Linked DNA regions of Elephas maximus indicus. The protein of the gene in region 3 interacts with the protein of the main gene of each other region in a biochemical or structural test. Links are inferred from orthologs where the notes say so. Each region holds a gene or a part of one and is shown on either strand. Other genes may lie near its edges.

Evidence for each region. The genes of interacting proteins can lie anywhere in the genome.
Region 1: the proteins of HDAC3 (region 3) and PPARG form a complex in vitro, tested with the Homo sapiens proteins (3 studies listed by BioGRID, with this or other methods). The link is inferred for Elephas maximus indicus from reciprocal best matches to the Homo sapiens genes HDAC3 and PPARG.
Region 2: the proteins of HDAC3 (region 3) and NR2C1 form a complex in vitro, tested with the Homo sapiens proteins (4 studies listed by BioGRID). The link is inferred for Elephas maximus indicus from reciprocal best matches to the Homo sapiens genes HDAC3 and NR2C1.

What each region holds. Positions count from the first base shown.
Region 1 is NC_064838.1:37,499,563-37,507,097, reverse strand, and holds the start of PPARG (peroxisome proliferator-activated receptor gamma), read right to left. Parts: upstream 3,015-7,535; 5' UTR 2,500-3,014; coding exon 2,418-2,499; intron 1-2,417. UniProt on the Homo sapiens protein: Nuclear receptor that binds peroxisome proliferators such as hypolipidemic drugs and fatty acids.
Region 2 is NC_064822.1:160,425,786-160,433,024, forward strand, and holds the start of NR2C1 (nuclear receptor subfamily 2 group C member 1), read right to left. Parts: upstream 3,015-7,239; 5' UTR 2,147-3,014; intron 840-2,146; 5' UTR 594-839; exon of another isoform or gene 1-593. UniProt on the Homo sapiens protein: Orphan nuclear receptor. Binds the IR7 element in the promoter of its own gene in an autoregulatory negative feedback mechanism. Primarily repressor of a broad range of genes.
Region 3 is NC_064820.1:154,963,402-154,971,080, forward strand, and holds the start of HDAC3 (histone deacetylase 3), read right to left. Parts: upstream 3,007-7,679; 5' UTR 2,956-3,006; coding exon 2,901-2,955; intron 2,786-2,900; coding exon 2,703-2,785; intron 1,135-2,702; coding exon 992-1,134; intron 1-991. Other genes in the region: RELL2 (RELT-like protein 2), read left to right, coding at 4,427-4,610, 4,999-5,064, 5,145-5,211, 5,663-5,848, 6,155-6,524, 6,632-6,664. UniProt on the Homo sapiens protein: Histone deacetylase that catalyzes the deacetylation of lysine residues on the N-terminal part of the core histones (H2A, H2B, H3 and H4), and some other non-histone substrates.

The DNA of each region.
Region 1 (7,535 bases), on a different chromosome or scaffold from region 3:
TTGCTGGCTCCAGGTAGCTAACAATGATCACATTCCTTATTTATTTTCAAGTTTTTTTGTCTGTTTTGGCAGGGGGTAGCAATTGAAATTGTCAATCCATCAGTAAATATTTACTGGTTACCCATAAAATACAACAGAAGGCCTTTAGGAACTTATATTTTAACAGAAAACAACACGAATAAGATGTAATCACAAACCATGTAAGATAATATGAGACTAAATTACTGGTACAAAATGTGTTGTAATTGCTAATAAAAGAAAAGTACTATGGCCCAGCAATTTCACTCCTAGATATATACCTAAAAGTCTTGAAAGCAGGGACTCAAACAGATACTTGTACAAGAAGGTTCATTACAGCACTATTCATGATCGCCGAAAGGTGGAAACCACCCAAGTGACCATCAGCAGAGGAATGGATAAACCGAATGTGGTACGCACATACAATGCAATGTTACTCGGCTATAAGAGAAACGAAGTTCAGACATACACTATGACATGGATGAACCCTGAAAACGTTATGCTGAATGAAATAAGTTAGACACAAAAGGAGAAGTGTGAGTCTACTTATATAAGATATAAGGCACGTATTTGGCAAAATAACAGGCAAATGCACAGACACAAAAGTAGATCAGTGGCTATTGGGGTTGGAAGGAGGGGAGAATGGGAAGTCATTGCTTAAGGGATACTGAATTTCTTTTTGGGGTGATGAAAAACTTTTGGAAATAGATAGTGATGACCACGCACAACATGGTGAATGTAATTAATGTCACTGAATTGCACACTTAAAATGATTATAACAGCCATTTTTTGGTTATAATATATATTTTATCACAATAGCTTTTTTTAAAGAAGAAAAGTACTGGGTTCTTCTTTTGGAGGAGATTAAACAGGGAAAATTCAAGGCACTAAAAGTAAGAGATTAGCACAGAAAGAAAACCAATTTGAATCACATAACCGTCCTTACAATATACAGGACTTCTATTGTACTTGCCTCCAGAGAACCTAAAAGGTTTGTTGCATTACACTCTAGAGATATTCTTTTCAAACAGAGAAAACTATCACATTTTGATTCAAGTACTATTATTTCATGGAATAGCTAGGACATTTTGCCCTAATGCAGGCTAAATCAATAACTGAAGAAAGGTAGCAATAATTTTTATGGCTTGCAAAAAAAATAGAATACCATCATTTTACACAGCATCATGAAAATAAAGTCCTATATAAGAGGCTCAGAAAGATAGAAATCAGCAAGATAGAAATATACATTGAGTCAAAGGATTATAATAAACTGAAACAGTATTTCAGGAAATATTTTTTCTTAATTAAAAAAAATGATGCTTTTAAAATTTGTGATTAATATGTTAAAGTTCTAGGCTTTCATAAAGATCAAAAGCTTAAAATAGAAGCGTCCATTTAAACAATTAGGTGACTTAACATTAATGCCTTAGCATTTATAGTGTAAAACATGACTCACACTAGTTAACACAATCTATTTTTACATGAGGCCTATGAGAAGAGAAAAAAAATAAAACAAATAGAAACAAAGAAATAAATATGAAACAATACAAAACATAAGAAGCTGTCCTAAGAAACTCCAGTAGAAGGAGCTGTAGAAATGAAGAACTTAAACTTGGCAATGGCTAAGAAAGAAATGCTGAAAAATGAAGTCGCTGTTTGAATCTTTCATATCCTCGCAGAAGTAATATCTTATTTAGCACACAATAAGCATTTAACCTTTTAGGAAACTCATTTACTTCAAGTGTGAAATGAGGTTCTTAGAACGGATGTTCTTCAAGGTCCCCACAATCTATGCTTTTAAAACAGAGTAGGCACTATGCTAGGTATCCTAAGAAACACAAGAAAGAATATAGCTTGGTCCCTACACTCCGGGTGCTTACAATTCTTCAGCGAGATAAATGTACACACAAATACCTAGATTTCAAAGTAGAACAGAAAAGTACTCAGAGAGGTTTAAGAGGAATAAAAGTGCTGGAAGAGGGATAGAAAGCCCTGTGAGAAATATCTAGCATAAAAGACTAATGGGGGGAAAGTGACTCTTCAAAAATTCCAAAAATTCCTTAAGTATTTTTGGGAAATGTATACAAACTCAGGAAATAAAAACAAATAAGACTGGTTTAGGATATACATGCGCCTTTAATGCCTACAATTCAGGAAGTAAGAACCATGCACAGAAATAATTTTATTAGGTTCCCCCCTCCCAAAGGTTTTGAATATTCTTTATAAGTGAACATTGGGGCAGAAAACTAAGCATTAAAGTACTGAAATATAGACACGATAGTATTAGAATAAATATACTTTGAAAAACAACTTTTCTGTAGTCTGAACCTAGACGAGCAATTTTACCCTTACTTAATGCCAAAAATATCCCAAATAGCCCTTTCTAGAACAGACTTTACCTTGTGAAGTGCTTGCAGACAGTGTATCACTGAAGCAACAGCTCTCAGGGTCAATGAGAGAATCTCCCAGAGTTTCACCCATACCAGCATGGAAAAGAGATTCGCTGTGATTCACAATGATACTTTGTCTATTCCTCGCAAAGAATCAATCCGGTAAACGAAAAAGACTTGCAGTAATAAAACATGAATACACCAGTGAATCAAGACACCAGTTTCCAAATATTTGGGAGAAGTGGGAATAAACACAGAAAGGACCAGGCCTGAATTGGCTGGCACCATCCTGTTAGGGAGCCAGCTGTGACAAAACGTGGTGTCATAATGCTGCTCACTGCTTTGGCAAGACTTGGTACATTACAAGAAAAATATTGCCACACTGTCTCGTCAGTAACCCACATGTTCAGAGTCTTGTGAGAGGTGTGAACTGTACAGTATTTAGAATTATCAGAGCAAGGAGATTGTTCAAGAGCTTCCTAAAATGGAAGACTTTAAATCCCTGGGTTATGAAATACCAGAGAAATTCATTTGGACGAAGTTTTTTTCTAGCTGTCCATTCCTGGTTGAATCTGTAGCCACGTTATCTGAAGTAAACTTTTGAATTCGAATATGCACTCATTTTAAATTTGTTATCAACATATTATAATCCTAAGATATTTATTATGGAAACCCTGGTGGTGTAGTGGTTAGGCGCTACAGTTTTTAACCAAGAGGTTGGCAGTTTGAATCCGCCAGGTCCTCCTTGGAAGCTCAAAGGGGCAGCTCTACTCTGTCCTATAGGGTCGCTGTGAGTTGGAATCGACTCAACGGCAGTGGGTTTCTTTGGTTTTTTTTTAAGATATTTATTCTACTACTTTTACCAGTTGCTGTTAAGTAGATTCTAACTTAACCCCATGCGTGTCAGAGTAGAACTGTGCTCCACAGAGTTCTCAAAGGATGGCCTTTCAGACTTAGAACACTAGGCCTTTCTTCCAAGGTATCTCTGGGTGAACTTGAACCTCCAGCCTTCTGGTTAGAGGTGTGTTTTTTGTTTTTACCTATACATATATAAGTACACACATCTACATGTAACCATGCACATATTTTTTTGGTTGTTACTACTGTTGTTGCAAAATTTTATATGTTGTGGCTTTTTACCAAAATCACCCCTTATTCTTGTGTATTTCTTTGTGTGATCATTTACCTTGGTCAAGTTGTGCTGACTTCATCCTTATTCAGTATTACCTTACCCATCACCAAAACTAACAAGCATCAACTATCTAGAAAGTGATTCTCCCTCTTTTTCCCTCCCATCCCTGGTAACCACCAAAGAATGTTGCTTACTGTATGTGTAACTATTCTTTTCTTTTTATAATAGTGAGATGATACAGTATTTGCCCTTTTGTGATTGGTTTAATTCACTCAGCATAATGTCCTCCAGAGTCATCCATGTTATAATGTATTTTGAGAACTTGTCATTATTCTTTATGGCAGTATAGTATTCCATTGTGTGTATGTACCACAGTTTGTTGACCCATTCATCGGCTGATGAGCAGTTAGGTTGGTTCCATCTTTTTGCTATTGTGAACAGTGCTGCACGGACCATGAGCGTGTATGTCTGTTTGTGTCAGTAGTTTTAGTTCTTTAGCATATACGCCTAGAATGGGATTGCTGGATCATAGTGTATTTCTATTTCTAGATTTTTGAGGAAGCACCATACCGTTTTCCATAGAGGTTGAGCCAATTTACAATCTCACTAGCAGTGGAGCAAGGTTCCAATCTCCCCTCAACCTCACCAGCATTTGTTGTTTTCTATTTTTTGATCAGTGCCATTTTTGCAGGGGTGAGAGGGTATATATCATTGTAGTTTTGATTCACATCTCTCTAATGGCTAATGATCACAACTTTTCATGTGTTTGTTGGCCACGTGAATGTCCTATTTGGTGAAGTGTTTGTTCATGTCCCTTGCCTATTTTTAAATTAAGCTATTAGTCTTTCTGATGTTGAGTTGCTGAAGTTTTCCATATATTTTAGAGATTTGACCCTTATCAGATATATCATTCCCAAAGTTTTTTTTCCCAATCTGTAGGTTCTCTTTTTACTCTTTTAATAGTTTTTTGATGAGCATAAGCATTTAATTTTTAGGAGGTTCTAGTTATCTAACTTGTCGTCTGTTGCTCATGCATTTGTAGTTGTGTTTGGTAATCCGTTACTGAAAAAAGTTAGGTCTCATAATTTTGTCCCCAAGTTTTCTTTCAGGAACTTTATAGTTTTGGCTTTAACATTTAGGTCTTTGATTTATTTTGAGGTTTTTTTTTTTTTTTTTTTTTTTTTGATATGGTGTGAAGTATGGATCTTGTTTCATTTTTCTGCAAATGAATATCTAGTTTTGCCAGCAACCATTTGTTAAAGAGACTACTTCCATCCCATTCAATGGACTTTGACCCCATGTCAAAAATCAGCTGCCCACAGATGGATGAATTTATTTCTGGGTTCTCAATTCTGTCCCATTGATTTATGTTGCTGTCATTGATCCAGTTCCAGGCGGTTTTGGTTGCTGTGGCTGTATAGTATGTTTTGAGGTCGTGAGTGTCAGGCCTCCTACTTTGTTATTCTTCTTCAATATTGCTTTGGCTATTTGGGATCTCTTTCCTTTTCTTATAAAGTTGGTGATATGTTTTTCCATTTCAGTAAAGAATGTTGTTGGAATTTGGACTGGGATTGCATTGTATCTATAGGTTGCTTTGGGTAGGGCCTGATATGGTTTTGATTGTATATATCAGGGTTTGCTTTTTCAAAACTCGATCAAGTGTATCCATCAATAACAAATGTAACAATGTTGCATTAGTTGATGTTTAAACATGGGTTGAAGTTTAAATGATAAATGCCATGTTATAATGAAAAATGCAGAGTTCTCTCTGTGAAGAATGCATTACCAGGAAAAAATAGAGTTACACTGATGGACTGGCGAGGAATTGTGGTCAGTTTTGTAACCAGGAAAAAGCTGGCTTCTTGCTCAAGGCCTTTGCCCTTTTTGGCAAGGAGAAGCGCTAGCTCTGCCAAACTCCTAATGTGGGAGCAAGCCACCTCTTGTCACATTAAGTGGCCTAATAGAATTGCAGTGACTTGTGGATTTAAAAAGTTGCCCCCACATAGGGCAGTATAGATGGCAATAATTCTCTCAGCTGCATATATCCTGATATTCCCCAAGTGAATATATGTATATAATCTAGCCAACGGACACTGAATAACCAGTTATCCTTCAAGGGGACTAGTAAAAGTTTCCCTGCCAATTACGGAGCAATAGTTTGGTGGGAAAACACTTACTAGATCTGAACGGCACAGAACAAAGTAGAAGGTTGGGCAATTATATGGCTATTTAAAGCAAGAGAATAAAAAAAAACACCTTTTATTAACAGGTTTTTATTAAGGTAATTCAAGTTAAAGTAAGTTTCTTGACAGTCCAAATGACTGAAGTAATTATAGAACTAGGTCTATATTCAATTTGAATTCTCAATAAAGGGGTTGCTCCTTCTCTCTTAATCCTGGGAAACTTAATTATGTTACAAAGTAATCCAGACACAATGACATAATATTTAAGGATATGATTGAATCTCAGATTTTTGGTTCAATTTATGATAGAGCAAAATAAATCATTAAAGTCACAGCACTTTCCTTCTTTTTAATAAAATAGAAAAGAATATAAGCCCCATTCTGCCTATAGATACTCCTATTCAATGTCCCAAGATATGTTTGGGTCTAGAGGACAAACAGCCTTATTTCCTATCAAGGGGCAGTATCTCACTCAAATCCCTACAATCATCTCATTCTTGCTCTTAGATTCCAGAGTCTCTTTAACTTTTTGAAAAGGTATGTTTTATTAAAATGTTATTAAGATTATACTTTTTTTTTAACGTTATTAAGATCATGCTAGATTATAAAATGATAAAATTGGCAGGATGATACTATTTTAGAGTGGGAGGAACTATTTAGAGTCCAACACTTTATTAATAAGATGAGAAAACTAGGCCCCACAATGACAAGTACATTCTCTAGGCTGAATAGCCCAGTGGTGACAGAGTTGCAATTACAGTCTCAGTCGTTAGGACCTCCAATTCCCAGGCCAGGATTCTATTGTCCTTCATCAACTTTCTACTCTTCGAAGTGTCTAAATCACATCTCTTAATAAATCAGGCACCATTGGGATGGAGTATGGTATGAGTTAGGGGGGAAATATGTTAACCCTTCAAAGCAATATCAGTAAATAATTGATCATTTTTCAATATTTATGGGTTATTGGGGGTGGCTCTCAATACCCTTCTTCCTCCTGTTTTTCTACCTTCCCTCAACTATAATGTAGCTAGTTTCTACCATGTTAACTATTTGGGGGATATTCTTAGTTTTGTTTCTGAAGCCAATAGTATTACCTGGTTCTCAAGTTCTACAGTAGTCTCTTATATTTGGGAACTACACAGACCCAATCTTTCTAACTATCCTCAAAGGGACTAATTTCTGTACTCTTCACCTACTGCTACTTCTATTCTCATTTTTCTCAGACACCATTCAAGTTGCCTATCTACTGTATAGCTAGGCCTTCTAAGCCTTTAATGGCTCTCACACTGTGCTTTAGCCATGCAAACATACAATTATTTTCAGCAGTTAATTATTCTATAGCATCTGAATCTAATAGCACCTACTTTTATAAAACTTATCACATTCTGTCATCCCTTCTCCCCCTAGACTATGTTACTTAAAAGCAGAAGTCTACCTTATTCACTACATTTCATTCATTTACGACAAATATTTATTGGCAATATAATATGTGGCAGGAATTAAGCTGGGTGCTAAGGACACAATGATGAACAAGATAAATGTGTTCTCCATCTTATAGAGTTAAAAAGTAGCCAACAAACAAAATTATAAGTTTGGTCAACATAGAGCCTGTCACATAGCAGGCTCAATAAATGTTGGTCAACTCTTGACAACATATACAAATCAAGCAATTTATGAAGCACCCTAAGTTACCAACAAAATGCCTATATCATGTGGACTCTTTAATCAGATTTCATATTAAAAGTAATTATAATATTTTGTCATAGGTTATTTAAGAAACAACTAACTCACATGGACATAAAAATGGACCAA
Region 2 (7,239 bases), on a different chromosome or scaffold from region 3:
AGGTACATATACACACAAGTACATTCACAGTGCAAACAACAGCATATGTTAAATACTAAGGGGTTCATAAAACCTCCTCGTCCAAGAATCCCAACTTAACACATGGAGTAAAATTTCAGCTACTGCCAGAACTGAGCTTCCTGAATGTGTATTTAACATATACAACTCTATGCATATTAAAAGCCACTAGAAGGTAAGAAAGGAGCCCTGGTGGTACAATGGTTAAGTGCTTGGCTGCTAACCAAAAGGTTAGGCTGTTGGAACTGACCAGCTGCTCCTCTGCGGGAGAAAAGACTTGGAGATCTGCTAGGGTGAACACTTTGCTGTCCAACTGATTCCTAATAAGGTTTCCAAGGCTGTAATTTTTATGGGAGTAGACCTACACAACTTTTTCACATGGAGCAGCTCGTCAGTTTGAGCTGCTGCCCTTTCAGGTAGCAGCCGAGTGTTTAACTATTGCACAACCAAGACTCCTCCGTAAAGATTACAGCTTAGAAAATCCTATGGGGCAGTTCTACTCTGCCCTACAGGGTCGATATGAGCAGGAATCGCTGGCACACAATAGAAAACAAGAACCATCTTTGTATCAGTACCTGGTAGAGTGCTTTGGCAAGTAGGTTCTCAGCATGTTTGCGGAACTGAATTACATCCTTATTTTCCTGCTTTGGAACCATCGGTGTCTTTTTAATGGCCAAAGAATAAGTCCTAACTCCTTGCCTTGGTATTCTTTCAGTATTTATTAAGCAACCACTACATGCCTGGCCCTGAGAAAACTATGGCGAACTCCTTTATAATTTGATTTCCTCATCTTCTCTCCTATCATTCCCAAGAGACGCCACCTATTCAGGTTAAAGTAAAAAAAAAAAAAAGATGTTACTTATTCCTCAATATATCGTTCCAATCTCCTACACTCCCTTCCCCACCCCAGCTCAGTTCAAATAGTTTTTACCCACTCTTGCCAGACTGGTCTAGTATTTACTGTGTACAGTAAGGTTGTTAACTAGGATTCATGAATAAACTCCTTTTTTTCTATTGTATGCAAAACTGTATGTGCACGTGCATTTTTCTAAGGAGGAGTCCACGGCTTTCAAAACAAGATTTTTAAAGGTTGCCGAAGGATTTTGTGATTTGGAGTCCTGGTGGTATAGTGGTTAAGAGCTCATCTGCTGAACAAAAATAGGCCAACAGTTTGAATCCACCAGACGCTCTTTGGAAACACTAAGGGGCAGTTCTACTCTGTCCTATGGGGTCGCTATGAGTCGAAATCGACTCCACAGCAATGTGTATGGAAAGAAAGTAAGGAATTATATTTCTAATATTTATTAATTATCGTATGCTACTTCTTTTGTCTTTTTTTATATCCCAAAGGTAGGAATTAGGCTCTGCGGCAGACACACAGAAGTAGGTATTTCAGGAATTTTTGCTGCCGTTGGTTTGTGTCTTCCTTAAAAGCCCAAACTTACTGGAAACTGGAGGAACCCCCAAAACTATGGCCTCCTGACACACTGTTAACCCAGAACTGAAACCATTCCCGAAGCCCACTTTTCGGACAAAGATCTGACAGGACTATAAAACAAAAAATAATACGCGTGAGGAATGTGCTTCTTTTCTTAGTTCATTCAGATACAGAAGACCAAATGGGCGGCTCCTGTCCAAACACAGGATGGAAAGTCATAAGAACTAGCCGAATGGACATGGGGCGGGGGGGGGGGGGGTCCTCACATTGGGAGGATTGCAACTAACGTCACAAAACAATGTGTACAAATTTTTGTACGAAAAATTAACCTGAGCTGTAAACTTTCACCTAAAGCACAATAAAAAACAAAATACCTCAATTCCTATAAAATTGAAATGCCTCCACAAGGAATGATGAAATTAGCAACATTTCGTGAAACCCCCCCCTTTTTTTAAGAATACAATATATTTTTCATAAGAATAAAATCTAAGTATCTTTTAGATCTACCAATCGGACATACAAAGTTGAAATACAATCTTCCTGTAACAACCAAGCACACAGCAAACACCGTTCAAAAACTTCAAGGTCAACAGCCTATTTACAACTTTCAGAGACGCAAAAACCCTAAAGGCTTTACTTTCAAGTCTTTTTTTTTCCTTTTCCTTTCCAATTGTTTTATTACAGACTGACCTACTTACTGCAGGTTACAGGGCAATTCAGCAACATTTGTAATTCATGGAACGATATCTGTGCGAGCTGAAGACAGGGTTTATTAACAAAAGCTACTGGGTGCTCGGACATGCAAAAGACACAGGTCCAAAGGCAGCGGCGACACTCTCCCCCTTCAAAATAAAATAAAAGTGAAAGTTGCGGGCGTTGTTCCGTCAGTCACTTGTAAGCACCAAAATCTGAGAGTCCCTAGGTGACAAGGGTTCAGGCCTCTGCCAGCGGCCACTCGAAGAAAGGGTCAGCCTCTCCCACGTCGGACCGCTCCCCGCGCCTCTGAGTCCCGCCAGCCGCCACGCGCCCTACAGGCCCAGCCACGGCGCGCGGCCCCTTGGGGAGGGGGAAGCGGCAGCAGCGCCGAGACGGAAGCTTTTCCTGTAGGTGAAAGGTCAGAGGCGCCGCAGGAGGCGCGGCGGGAGAGGCGGCCGTGCGCACCGAGCAGCTCGCTGACTACCTCCCGCGCCCCGCTGTGCCGCCCTCACGAGGACCCGCGTCCCCGCGCCGGTCACTCTTGGAGCCCCGCACACTCGGCCCCGCCGCTCCGGCCACTCTCCGTTCTTCCTCCCAACCCCACCTGAGCAGCCCACCGCGGCAGTGCCAGACGGGCCGGCCCTGCCGGCCGGAGCCCGCAGGCTGCGGGGGCGTCCTGCGGGTGCGTCCGTTGGCAGTTGGGTTAAAGGGACACTCTCGACCCCCGCCCCTGGTGCGGCCGCTTTTCTCCCCACCGGCGCTTCTTACCCGCGGTTCTCCGCCGCGCTCGGTCCTGTTCCGGGCGTAGACCCGACAGCCCCGCTGCGGCGGATGCTGGGGAGTTCCGGGAGGAGACAGGTTGGAGAAAGGTGGGGAGTAAGAGGACCCAGGGAGCGGGAGGAGGGAGCTTTGAGTTTGTGTATTTCGGGGGGGGGTCAGAGTTCGTGACCCCTCCCTCGGCTCCTTGGTGCGCGCTCCCGCCCGCGCCTGCGCATTAACGGTGTGGAGGAGCCGCGAGAGGGGGGCGTGACGTTCTCTGTTGGGAGGGTGGGGAGGAGGGATGAGAGGAACCCAGCCGCGGTTTTGAAAGTCGCCTGCCCCCTGTCGGCTCGGAGGGACAATGGCCGAGAGCTGTGTGTCCCCATCAGGTACTTTTAGAAGTACGGTGTTTGTCAAAAGGAAGTTTTGAGTCAACGTCTCAGATTTGAATAATAAAAATAAAACATAACCCAATTGTTTTTAGGCAATTCGGTTTCTAATTTGTGCCAAACAACTCTAGGTTTTATTAGAGGATTAACAAGATCCCAGTCAAGTATTTAAAATTTCCTTATTTAAATATAAACGAGCCGAGGCAGAATGATATATCGTAAGGCAAGGTTTTTATTTACCAATTATTGTGAGTAAATAATGGAGATGTGATTAAATGGAGCAAGAATATAATCACTAGAATGTAAGCTCCCTGAAGGCTGGTTTTTACCTGCTTTGTCAGTGGTGTATCCTCATGCACTAGGACAATGCCTGATGGTAAATAAAGGTGTTAAAGGGCACTGACAGAACATCACTTTCTGATGGTGGCCACCTGAGACAGCAAAGTGTGTGGTAGGAGCAGTTGCCCTGTATGCAAAGTACTGTGTGGTTTAGACTTTTAAGAGAAGGGATCCTCAGAATTTCCATTGTGTGGTGCGTAGGTCGTTGTTGTTGTCATCAAGTCGGTACTGACTCAGCGTCCCTGTGCACAACAGAACCAAACACTGCCCGGTCCTGCAACATTCTCACAGTTGTTGCTATGCTTGAGCCCATTATTACAGCCACAGTGTCAGTCCATCTTACTGAGGGTCAGCACTGTAGAAAAGCAGCTGCCGATTCAAGGCAGAAGCCCAAGTCAGGAAAAACAAATGTGCGTTTGGGAACCAGAACATCTCCTAGGTCATTTCCCTCTAGAACTATGCAACTGAACACATGGAAAAAGGGCATGTGGCAAGTGGAAATATAATTCATGACTCATTCTCTGTAAAAGTCCACCTCTTACTTTTACCATCATTTGTTGTGTGTTTGATGGTTTTAAGGCAAAGTACTGCCTCAATCCTGCAATCTTTAAACTGGTCCCAAAGGAGAAAGCTAAGTACACTGTAGGTCAAATGGAAAAGTAATCTGAGACCTTTTCTCTATTCTCAGGGCACAGTATGCATATCTGTAGTGATGCGCGAGATTACCCCTTATCATCTAATTAATTCACTTAAGTCACAGTAAGTTAACTTATTAAAACTTGGATGTAGAAGCCAATTTCGGAACATCATTTATGGGTGAAGGAGAGTTTTCCCTTCAGAAAAACCAAGAGGTCAGTGAGGTTCATCTTTAAATCTGTGACTCTAAAAGTTTTGGTTTAAAAGACATCACACAAGAAATAGATATTAAATTTATTTAATATAAATATACTTATTAACATTATTTACAATGCTAATTATTTATAAAGGATCTATTTCTATATGGACAATAAGAAACAGACTTATCACTTTAAAAAATGTTTCTAGAAATACATCATAAATCATTTAAAGAAACAACAGTATTTCAAGATTGTGTTCTTTCATGCCATAGGAACCCATATAAAAAACTGCCCCCCTTCATCTCTTCCCCTGTACCCAAAAAAGGAGCTTTTTGAAAATTTCTTACCTTAAAAAAAAATCCTACTAGAAAGTATTTGTCTCTTTTCTTAAAAGGGGAAAAGTCAGATAAGATTTTTTGTTTAGAAAATGACTAAAAGTATCATAAGCTCCAGGATAATGTTTGTGTATTGCAGGCACTTTTTTCTTGAAAATCAGAAGCAACTGTATTGAGCAAATATAAGTGTCCACTTCATGCAAGGCACTCTGCCCTGGGCTGTAGAGGAATCTCCAATGAACAAGATACAGTTTCGGTTCTCAAGGGCAGAATGTGACAAGCACCATAAGAAAGTGTTTATGAACGAAGAGCCACGGGAGCACTGAGGAAGGAGACACTGGATCTACTCTGGAGGAACAGGGGAGAGAAGGCTAGGATCAACTGTCACAGAGGAGGCTTTCAAGTTGGGCACTCTTGGGAAAAGTGAGAATAAAGAAAACACTGTGAACAGAGAAGGGATGGATTAGGGTTGGCTGCAGGGTATGATACCTGAGGAAAAGTAATATATAAAGGTGAGACATGGTTTGGGGCGAACTGTAATAGAATTTGCATTCCATGCCAAGCCACCTGGAAGCCACTGAAGGTTGTAATAAAAAAATATATATAATAATAGCAGGAGATAAAACTAGATTATAGCTATGCTGTAGAAAGATAGCTCTGGCAGTGCTGAAAATGGGACCACATAAAGAAGGTATTGAGGTAAGAAGAAAAGTTACTGTAATCATTGGGAAGTAGTAACAGGGACTTGAGTCAGGGCCTATGCAGTAACAATAAAAGGGCAAAAAGTAAAAGGGCAAGGAGGATGGAAAGGATACAAGGATAACTGCAAAGAGCCTTGTTGAGACTTGGAGACAGATCCCAGAGCCCAGAATGATGCCTTTCCATTATGGGTGAAAATAAAAGAAGGAGATTTGAATGGGAAGGTGAGTTGAGATTTAGTCCTATAAAATTTAAAATGCTTGAGAAGGACTCGTGTAGCTATCCAACCCACCTGTTGCCGTCGAGTCAATTCCGACTCATAGTGACACTCTAGGACACATAGAGTTTCCCAGGAGAGCCTGGTAGATTCAAACTGTCAACCTTTTGGTTAGCAGCCATAGCACTTAACCACTACGCCACCAGGGTTTCCAGCTATCTAACAGGTAGTTGCAAATGTGGCCTTGTAGGATGGTGAAGAGTATAGGTTTAAGATCTAAGTAATAATGAGGGCATTTTGGGGCTGTTTGAGTTTTAATGACAAGACTTCTGTCCTCACTTTCTTCTACTTAAAGTGGGGGGAAGTGAGAATAAAGAAGAAAACAGTAAGAACAGAAAAGGATGGGTGAGGATTAGCTGGAGGGTATGATACCTGAGGAAAAGGGTTAAGATACCTGAGGAAATACTTAATATTTTCTCTTAAAAAGCACAGGGTAGTTACTATGAAAGAAACTGCTACATTAAATACAGTATCTGCTTTCAATTCTCTGGAAATCTCAGTAATTATATTTCACTACAATGGATCTCAAACTTTCCAAAAATTTAGCACAATGAAAGTATGCATTCAAGACATATCATATACTGATATTTACATTTTAACTAAATAACCAAATAGCAGGCTTTCCCCGTTTCCAGATATATTCTACCACCCATATAAACTTGGCTAACAAAATTATACTTTAAAGCTGTCATGCTCACTGTTATGGATTGAATTGTCCCCCCCTCCCCCGGCCAAAAAAAAGTGTATCAGTTTGACTTGATCATGATTCCCAGTATTGTGTGACTGTCTACCATTTTGTCATCTGATGTGATTTTCCTGTGTTGTAAATCCTACCTGTATGATTTTAGTGAGGCAGGATTAGAAGCAGTTATGTTAATGAGGCAGGACTCAATCTACAAGATTAAGTGGTGTTTTAAGTCAGTCTCTTTTGAGATACAAAAGAGAAGGTGGGGGGACACCTCATACCAACAAGAAACAAGAGCCAGGAAAATAGCGTTGTCCTTTGGACCCAATGCCCCTGCATGGAGAAGGTCTGAGACCAGGGGAAGATTGATGACAAGGACCTTCCTCCAGAGCTAACAGAGGAATGCCTTCCCCTGGAGCTGGCACCCTGAATTCGAACTTCTAGCCTCCTTCACTGTGACAGAATAAATTTTCTTTGTTAAGGCCAACCACTTGTATGTCTGTTATGGTATCACTAGATAACTAAGACGCTCACTTAGTTGTTATATTACAGCGTTATATGAGTTAAGGGTTGGTCTGATGGTCTCATTTAAAGAAATGCTTCTAAATAATCAAGATTTTGACTGAAGAAGAGAGAATGAGCAGTGGTGGTTCCTCTATCTTGGGCAGCCAGAAGACAATAGCAGGATACTGGGTATATTAGGGAACACAGGCGAAGAGGACAGAGAGAGGTTCAGAAATGTGCGATGATGCCAAAGAGAACCTTTCT
Region 3 (7,679 bases):
GACCCTATAGAATGGAATAGAACTGGCCCATTGGGTTCCCAAGGCTGTAATCTTTACAGAACCAGACTGCCACATCTTTCTCCCTCAGAACGGCTGGTGGGTTTGAACCACAGGCAGCCGAGTGCTTAACCACTGCACCACGAGGGCCCCTCTCTACTTAATCCAAAAAACCCGTTGCCGTCGAGTCGATTCCGACTCATAGCAACCCTATAAGACAGAGTAGAACTGCCCCATAGTGTTTTCAAGGAGCGCCTGGTGGATTCGAACCACTGACCTCTGGTTACAGCCACAGCTCTTAACCACTATGCCACCAGGGTTTGCATGATAGGGCTGCTTAAAAGGTCAGGCCACGCCTGTCTCTTTTAACCTCAATTCAGATCACTCTCCTCTTCATATTCAGCACTCGGCCTTTTTTCTGTCCCTCAAATGAGTCATACTCTATCCTACCAGAGACCATTAACACATATAGTCCCTGCTGCCCACCATATGCTCTCTCCCCCTCCAGCCACCCAACCCCCTTTCACCTAATCACTTCCTGCTCTTTCTGCAGATGTCAGTTCAATCCTCTCTTTACTCCCTCTAGGAAGTCTTCCCTGACCAGCCTCCTCCTAAACTAGATTATTCTCCCAACTATACGCTTTCACAGTCTGTCATGTACCCCTTCCTGCATAGGACTTGGCACAACCACAATATTAAATTTATGTATAGATTAGATGATTGCCTTCCCACTAGACTGCAAGCTCCACGATTGTTTATTCCCACCTCCTAGCTTTTTTCATTTTTGTTCATCATTGTATGCCCAGCACTTAGCACCAGATCTGGCCTATAGCAAATGATCAATAACTATTTGCTGAATAAACAAATGAGAAAGTGGTGATTCACTGATAAGTAAGCCCTCTTCTTAGCTTTCCAGTGCTGTTGCCACAAGATCTCGTGCAAGAATTCCCCCTTTTGAAGTGCCGAGCATCAAAATTCCCAGTCCTCTCCTCACCAGTCATCACCCACATTGAAGGCATTAAGGCTCTTGGTGAAGCCTTGCATATTGGTGGGGCTGACTCTCTGCAGGAAGTCGATGTAGTCCTCGGAGTGGAAGCGGCACATGTCGTGCTGGGAAGCCTGGTATGGCTTGAAAACCTCGGGATGGAGACACAAGATGAACCCAGGCAGGGTCATGCCCACTCACGGGGCTGAGACCACTCACACTGAACCCAACCCTGGCAATTGTTCAAGTCCGCACGCAGCAGTCACCACACCACACGCAACGGACATCACATCACAACACACCAATCCTTGTTATTCTGTGAGGCAAAGGTCACTCTGCGCCTGAAGAAAACAGGCTCTGATGAGCCAAGTGGGTTATTATGATCGAGCCCCCTGACCGGGCTTCCTGCCTCATTCCCACCTCCAGCCCAGGGCTGCTGGGCCCTCCCTCTAGAGCTCTAACATCTTCCAGGTAGAAAGAAGAGACGAGGAGAAGGGATGGGAAATGAGGGTAAACCCCACAGTCAGGTACAGTGGTCCAGCCCCTCCCCCACCTTTAAGGCCACAGCACTACCCACATACTAAGATGCTAGGGATGAAGACATCAGGTCTTCAAACCAGCCCCACCCCACCATACCCCTAAGCCAAGGGCCGGTCCACCTGAGGCCAAGGGGTGGCTGACCTGAAGTGAAAAAGTAACCCCCGTTAAGTCAGAGGACACCATCCTCTACACTCTGGAGAAGGAGGGAGGTTACTCCTGGTGTCTTCTATCCAGCTATCCCCTCCCTTCTCCCATTCTAGAGTCAAAGACCACCTTCTAATTAAAACCCAAAGGACTAAACCAGAGATTTAGTATCTTTTGGGTACCTCACATGCCCCTTTGGAAACTGGGCAAGAACAGTGCAGTTTTTCTCTCTCTAGAAAATGCACACAGGTATATATAGGCAAATGATTTCAGGGAATTCATTGACTCGTGCATTAACATCACTTCAGTCTTTTCTATGACCAATCCACTTGACTGTGCCTCAGCACAAGCAGCGGACACTCATTCATATTGTTGGCCAATTCCCCTCACAACGCATAAGGGTTAGGCCTGTTATACCGCCAAATCACAACTATAAATTACAAGCTGGGGGCAGCGTGTGTGATGTCTGGGAGATGAAGGTTTGAGTAGCAGCGTTCTAGGTTAGAAAGGAGATACCCAGGATGTCTCCTGTCTCCCTCCATACACGCATACACATTTACACCCAAGGCTGGTGGGCCCTCCCTCGAGAGCTCTAACATCTTCCAGAAAGAAACAGGACATGAGGAGAAAAGGTGGGAAATGAGGGTAAACCCCACAGTCAGGTACAGTGGTCCAGCCCCTCCCCCACCCTTAAGGCCACAGCACTACCCACACACTAAGACGCTAAGGATGAAAACATCAGGTCTTCAACCCAGCCCCACCCCACCATACCCCTAGGTCAAGGGCTGGTCCACTTGGGGCCAAAGGGTGGCTGACCTTAAGTGAAAAAAGTAACTCCCGTTAAGTCAGAGAACACCATCCTCAACACGTTGGAGGGAGGTTTCTCCTCGTGCCTTCTGTCCAGCTACACCGCCCCCCACCCCCCCGCTCCTGTTTTCGTATGCAGATCGCACCTGGTGCATTCAGTCCAGCCCACCTAGCCCTAAGACCACAGCTCGCCCCACCCCTAACACATGGCAGAGGCAGCGGGACTTACGATCATCTTCTTATAGAGACCGTAGTGCAGAACCAGACTATGGGTCAATGCCAGGCGATGAGGCTTCATAGGATGTCCAGCCCCTGGGCAATGGGGGTGGGGAGAAGAGAGTTCGTCAGTGTCCACCCCCGGAGTTGCAGCCCCTGCCTCGAAACCTCTGCGCCCTGAAACCCCTCGCACACAACCCTGATCCCTCACCATAATGGAAGTTGCCCACGTCCGGGTCGTAGAAATAGGCCACGGTCTTGGCCATGGCGACCGCGGGACCAGGCCCCGGCCTCCGCCGCCCGCCCGGCCGCCAGCCCCGCCCCCGGCCGTGCGTGCTGCGTATGTACGCAGCCCGCCTCTGCGGAACTGGGAGGCCTAGGCCCCGCCTCCGTGAGACCACGCCCAGGTCACACCCCCTGCAAGACTCCGCCCCTCCCCCGGCTGGCCAGGCCCCTGGGGGTTGGGTGTAAGCGTCCCGGCTCGAGTGCTGGACAAGTAACCTCGGTCTCAGCGTGGGAGGGTCATTTCCTTCCGGGCGGGGGCCAAATCTTCGTGAAGCCGAGCCATTAGTCCAGCCTTCTGCCCCAGAGGAGAGTGCGGCCGTGGTCTCCGCGCCCGCCCCGCTAGTACGCTCTGGAGAACCAGCCACGCCGCCGCGCTCGGGTGCAGAAAACCGGTTTCTGCCTGCCCGCTGGAGAGATCCCTGGCTATCCGCCCGGCTAGGGCATCTGCGGACAGGAGCCTCTCCAGGCGTGCGGGATAGACCAGAGGGGAGCACACCCGCCGGGCCGGGCCGCCTGTCCTGACCCGGACTCAGACGGCGCCGCGCTCCCCCCGGAGAGGTGCCAGCCAGTCACGCGCGCACCACACTTGCGCTCACACACGCGCGCACAGCTCAAGCTCTCCGCTCCGCACACCTGCGCTCCGCCCCCCGGTCCCGGGCCGGCGGCGGGCGAAGGCATTTGGAAACCCAGGGGTTGCTGCGGCGGCGCCTCCCACCCCCCTTCCTTCCCAGGGCCGGAGTTGTCTGAAGCCTGCTGCGGCTCCCAGCCAGCCCTCATCCCTCTCCATCCTTCCCTCCCCCCGCCTGCCGCTGCACCGGTAGCCGCAGCCGCAGCCCGGAGCCGGTGAGGCGGCGAAGGGGGAGGGGAAGGAAACAAGGGATGAGCGCCGGGAGGGCGTCGGGGGCCCCGAGCAGGACTAGGACGCCCCTGGAGCCGAAACCCGAGCCGAAGCCAGAACCGAACCACCGGTACTGGGTGGGCCAGGTGCTCAGGGTGGAAGGAATCGTAAAAGGGAGGGTGCGGGAAGGAAGGCAGGGGAGGGGGCTGCAGAGGCCGGGCCCAGGCCGGCGCGGAGCGGGTGCGAACGCTGACTCAGGCGCGACTCCTGCGCCCGCCGCCTGAGAATTCCGTCCCGTCTTGCGCTGCAGTGTCCTTGGGAGGGACGGAAGAGCAGGGACGAGCTGGAAAGGGGAAAGCTCCGGGCGTCGGGGAAGCGGGACCAGGGTCGTGGAAGAAGACTTGCGCAGCCGCTGTCTGGCCCCGCGTCCCGGCAGCTCTTGGCGCACCAGCACCCCTGGCCCGGACAGCTCCCTGGTTGGGTAGGGGGTGGGACCGGATCTCTGAGCCTTGCCAGTTTGGAATCTGAGGCATTCCTACCCCTCCCCAACATCCCCAGCTGCAGCCCCCTCCCCCCAGGAGGCGCCCTGGCCCGCGCTCGCCCCCCAGGGCCTCATGTCGGAACCACAGCCTGACCTGGAGCCTCCCCAGCATGAGCTGTACATGCTCTTCCTGCTTGTGCTGGTCTTCTTCCTCATGGGCCTCGTAGGCTTCATGATCTGCCACGTGCTCAAGAAGAAGGGCTACCGCTGCCGCACATCGAGGGGCTCGGAGCCTGACGACGCCCAGCTCCAGTCCCGTGAGTCAGGAGCCGGGAACCCTGGCTCAGCCATCTTTCTCTCTTAAACGCTTCTCCCCACATCTTTTTCCGCTTTCCCTGGCCAACAGACCTAGGTCCGATCCCAGTCAAGCCTGCAGGAGGCCTAGTGATGCTTCCTTGAGTCAGCAAGTGGGGTGAAACCACCCTAAAGGCAAGACTAGAGGAGGCAACATGGGGAGGAAGGTCTTTGGCTCCCATTGACCTCCCCATCTTCCCTGGCCTGGCTCCTGAAATGCTAAAGTCCAGCATGAGAGCAAATAGATTAAGGGATATGTTTTGAGGAGTAAGCCACAGGAACCACCAGGTAATGCCCCCCCCCCAAAGTGATTCTTTTCTCTCTTCCTTGCCAACCTCTTTCATCCTTCAGCTGAGGAGGATGACATGAATGAGGACACAGTAGAGAGGATTGTTCGATGCATCATCCAAAATGAAGGTAGGTGTAGGCTGACTCCTTCCCCACCCCCTTCTCTTGCCCTGACCTCCACTAACTCCATCTTTTCTTTCTCCCCTCAGCCAATGCTGAGGCCTTGAAGGAGATGCTGGGGGACAGTGAAGGAGAAGGGACAGTGCAGCTGTCCAGGTGAGTTGCCTGGAAATAAGGTCCAGCATGGCTTTGGTTGCCTTGGAAAGTACTCTCCTCCAGCACAATTCTTTCCCAGTCTCCTTGCATGTTTGTGGGGGCATGGAAGTAGATGGCAAGGTTGGCTCACCTATAGGTAAAAAGTTTTGTAGAAATCCAGGGTCCTTCAAACCATCTCTCCCACCTGAACATCGGCAAGCCTAACACTCACCCTTAATGCCACTCCTTTGGGTTAACCATTATTCTCTTTCTGGCAAACAGTCCCGAGAGGGAGAATGCATGGTCACTGACATCTTAATACTGAGTTTATTACACAAAGACAAGAAAAGAATGTTGGGGTCTTGGGGAAGTGGGATATCTGGGGGTTTAACGAGCATGCTGAAAGAACAGGAGGCAACAGAACAGGAAGGGAGATGGGAATGTCACCCCTGTTCTCCTCCTTCCTGTCCAGCGTGGATGCCACCTCCAGCCTGCAGGATGGAGCCCCCTCCCACCATCACACAGTGCATCTGGGCTCTGCAGCCCCTTGCATCCATTGCAGCCGCAGCAAGAGGCCCCCACTTGTCCGTCAGGGCCGCTCCAAGGAAGGAAAGAGCCGACCCCGGCCTGGAGAGACCACCGTGTTCTCTGTGGGCAGGTGGGGCCACAGTGTTCCAGGGAAAGGGAGGTAGAGGTGGGGGCCACAGTGATCAGGCATCTAACTCAAAAGGTGGGCCTGGTGGGACTCCATGCAGGATCTCCAAAGGGCCCTCCCTGGCTCTTTTCTCCTGGACTGGGCGCTGCAGCAGGGTCAGGCTGCACAATATACCCCAAAGTCTGAGAAGGCCTCCCCTGCCCAGGCCAGAGGGAAGTGGCCATCACACCCAGGATGTCCCTGATTGGAGAGGAGGGCAAGAAGCCTCTCAGTTGTGGTCCTAAGCTCCAGTGTTCCCTCCCCTCCCAGGTTTCGGGTGACACACATTGAGAAACGCCATGGGCTGCATGAGCATCGTGATGGCTCCCCAACAGACAGGAGCTGGGGCTCTAGTGGGGGACAGGACCCAGGGGGCAGTCAGGGATCTGGGGGAGGACAGCCCAGGGCAGGGATGCCTGCCATGGAGAGACTGCCCCCTAACAGGCCACAGTCCCCAGCCCTAGCCAGCCCCCCAGTGCAGAATGGAGGACTCAGGGACAGTAGCATAGTACCTTGTGCACTTGAGGGGAACCCTGGAGCCTCTGCAGAGCTGGTGCTGGGGGCCGGAGGCAGGGGCCCAAGTCCGGGGCTGCCCAGTCAAGAGGCAAAAGCAACCAAACTGGACATCTCAGATCACCAGGTATGAAGACATGGCCAGGGCTTCAGTGGGATGTGGCAGACTGAGCTTTTGTTGTCCCCTACTCTGGGGACTATTTTTCCACTGCTGACCCCTCCCTTTTCTCTCAGGTGTCCCCACCACGGGGAGCAGGGGGTATGTGAGGTGAGTCTGCCTGGGACCCAGGGCAGTGAATCTTATCCTCCTACCCCCCACTCAAGCCCGTCAGCTCCCTGAACCCCCAGGTGAACTGCAGGCTTTAGCCTTTGCTACAAATTTTTGGTTTGGTGGTGGGGAGTGGGCATGTGCTTCAGGGGGTAGATTCAGGAACCCGGAAGTGAAGGGGTCCTGTGTCACCAGGAAAAAACTGGGACAGACCTTAAATAGAAGGCAACATTGTTACCCTCCCTCTCTTCCAAGCCTCATTCTTCGCTGCTGCTGAATGGACTACCAGCTGGCAGAGTCCGGGGTGGGTGGACATGAAGCCCCTCCCCTCCACTGGACAGCACTGCCCCCAGCTGAGGGACCAGCCTTACTTCCACCTGGAGTTTCATGGTCTCAAGCTGGGGGACCTCAGAAGTAGCCCTCAATACACCCGTCAGTCTCTTCCCATTCCCTTGCCTGCCAACAGGCCACCTGACCTGCCTTCCTAACACCTCACTCCATATGCTAGAGCGTGGCAGCTGGGAGCAGGCCCCTGCCTTTGGTGGGCCCTTAAAGCAATAGCACCTTAGGCCCCCTGCCCTCTTGGCGCAAGAGGCCAAGGCTTGGCTTGGGCTTCCTGCCCTTTATTCACTGTCAATAAATCCGCTCAGACCATTACAGCTGCTTTTGCATACTGGCTCCAGCTCCTTCTGATTCGCAAGGCCTGACTCTGTCCCTGCCCCCAGCCCAAGTGGCCCTGGTACCCAGGATGGGGTGGGGCACAGACCCAGGGTGGAGACAAACATGGGCGGAGCCATTCAAGATTTGAGGAGGGTAGGTTCCAGCCCCAGAGATTTCAGGAGTGGGATAGAAGGGGTTCCAGCCTTGGAGATGGGGTGGTGGTGGAAAAGAAAGGGGTAGTTCCAATCCTAGAGATTGCAGGAGAGGAACGGAGGAAAAGGAGTGGGCTCTAGCCCCAGAAATGGGTGAGAGTGAAAATGGGAGAAATTCCAACTTTTGGCTGTAATGTGTAGG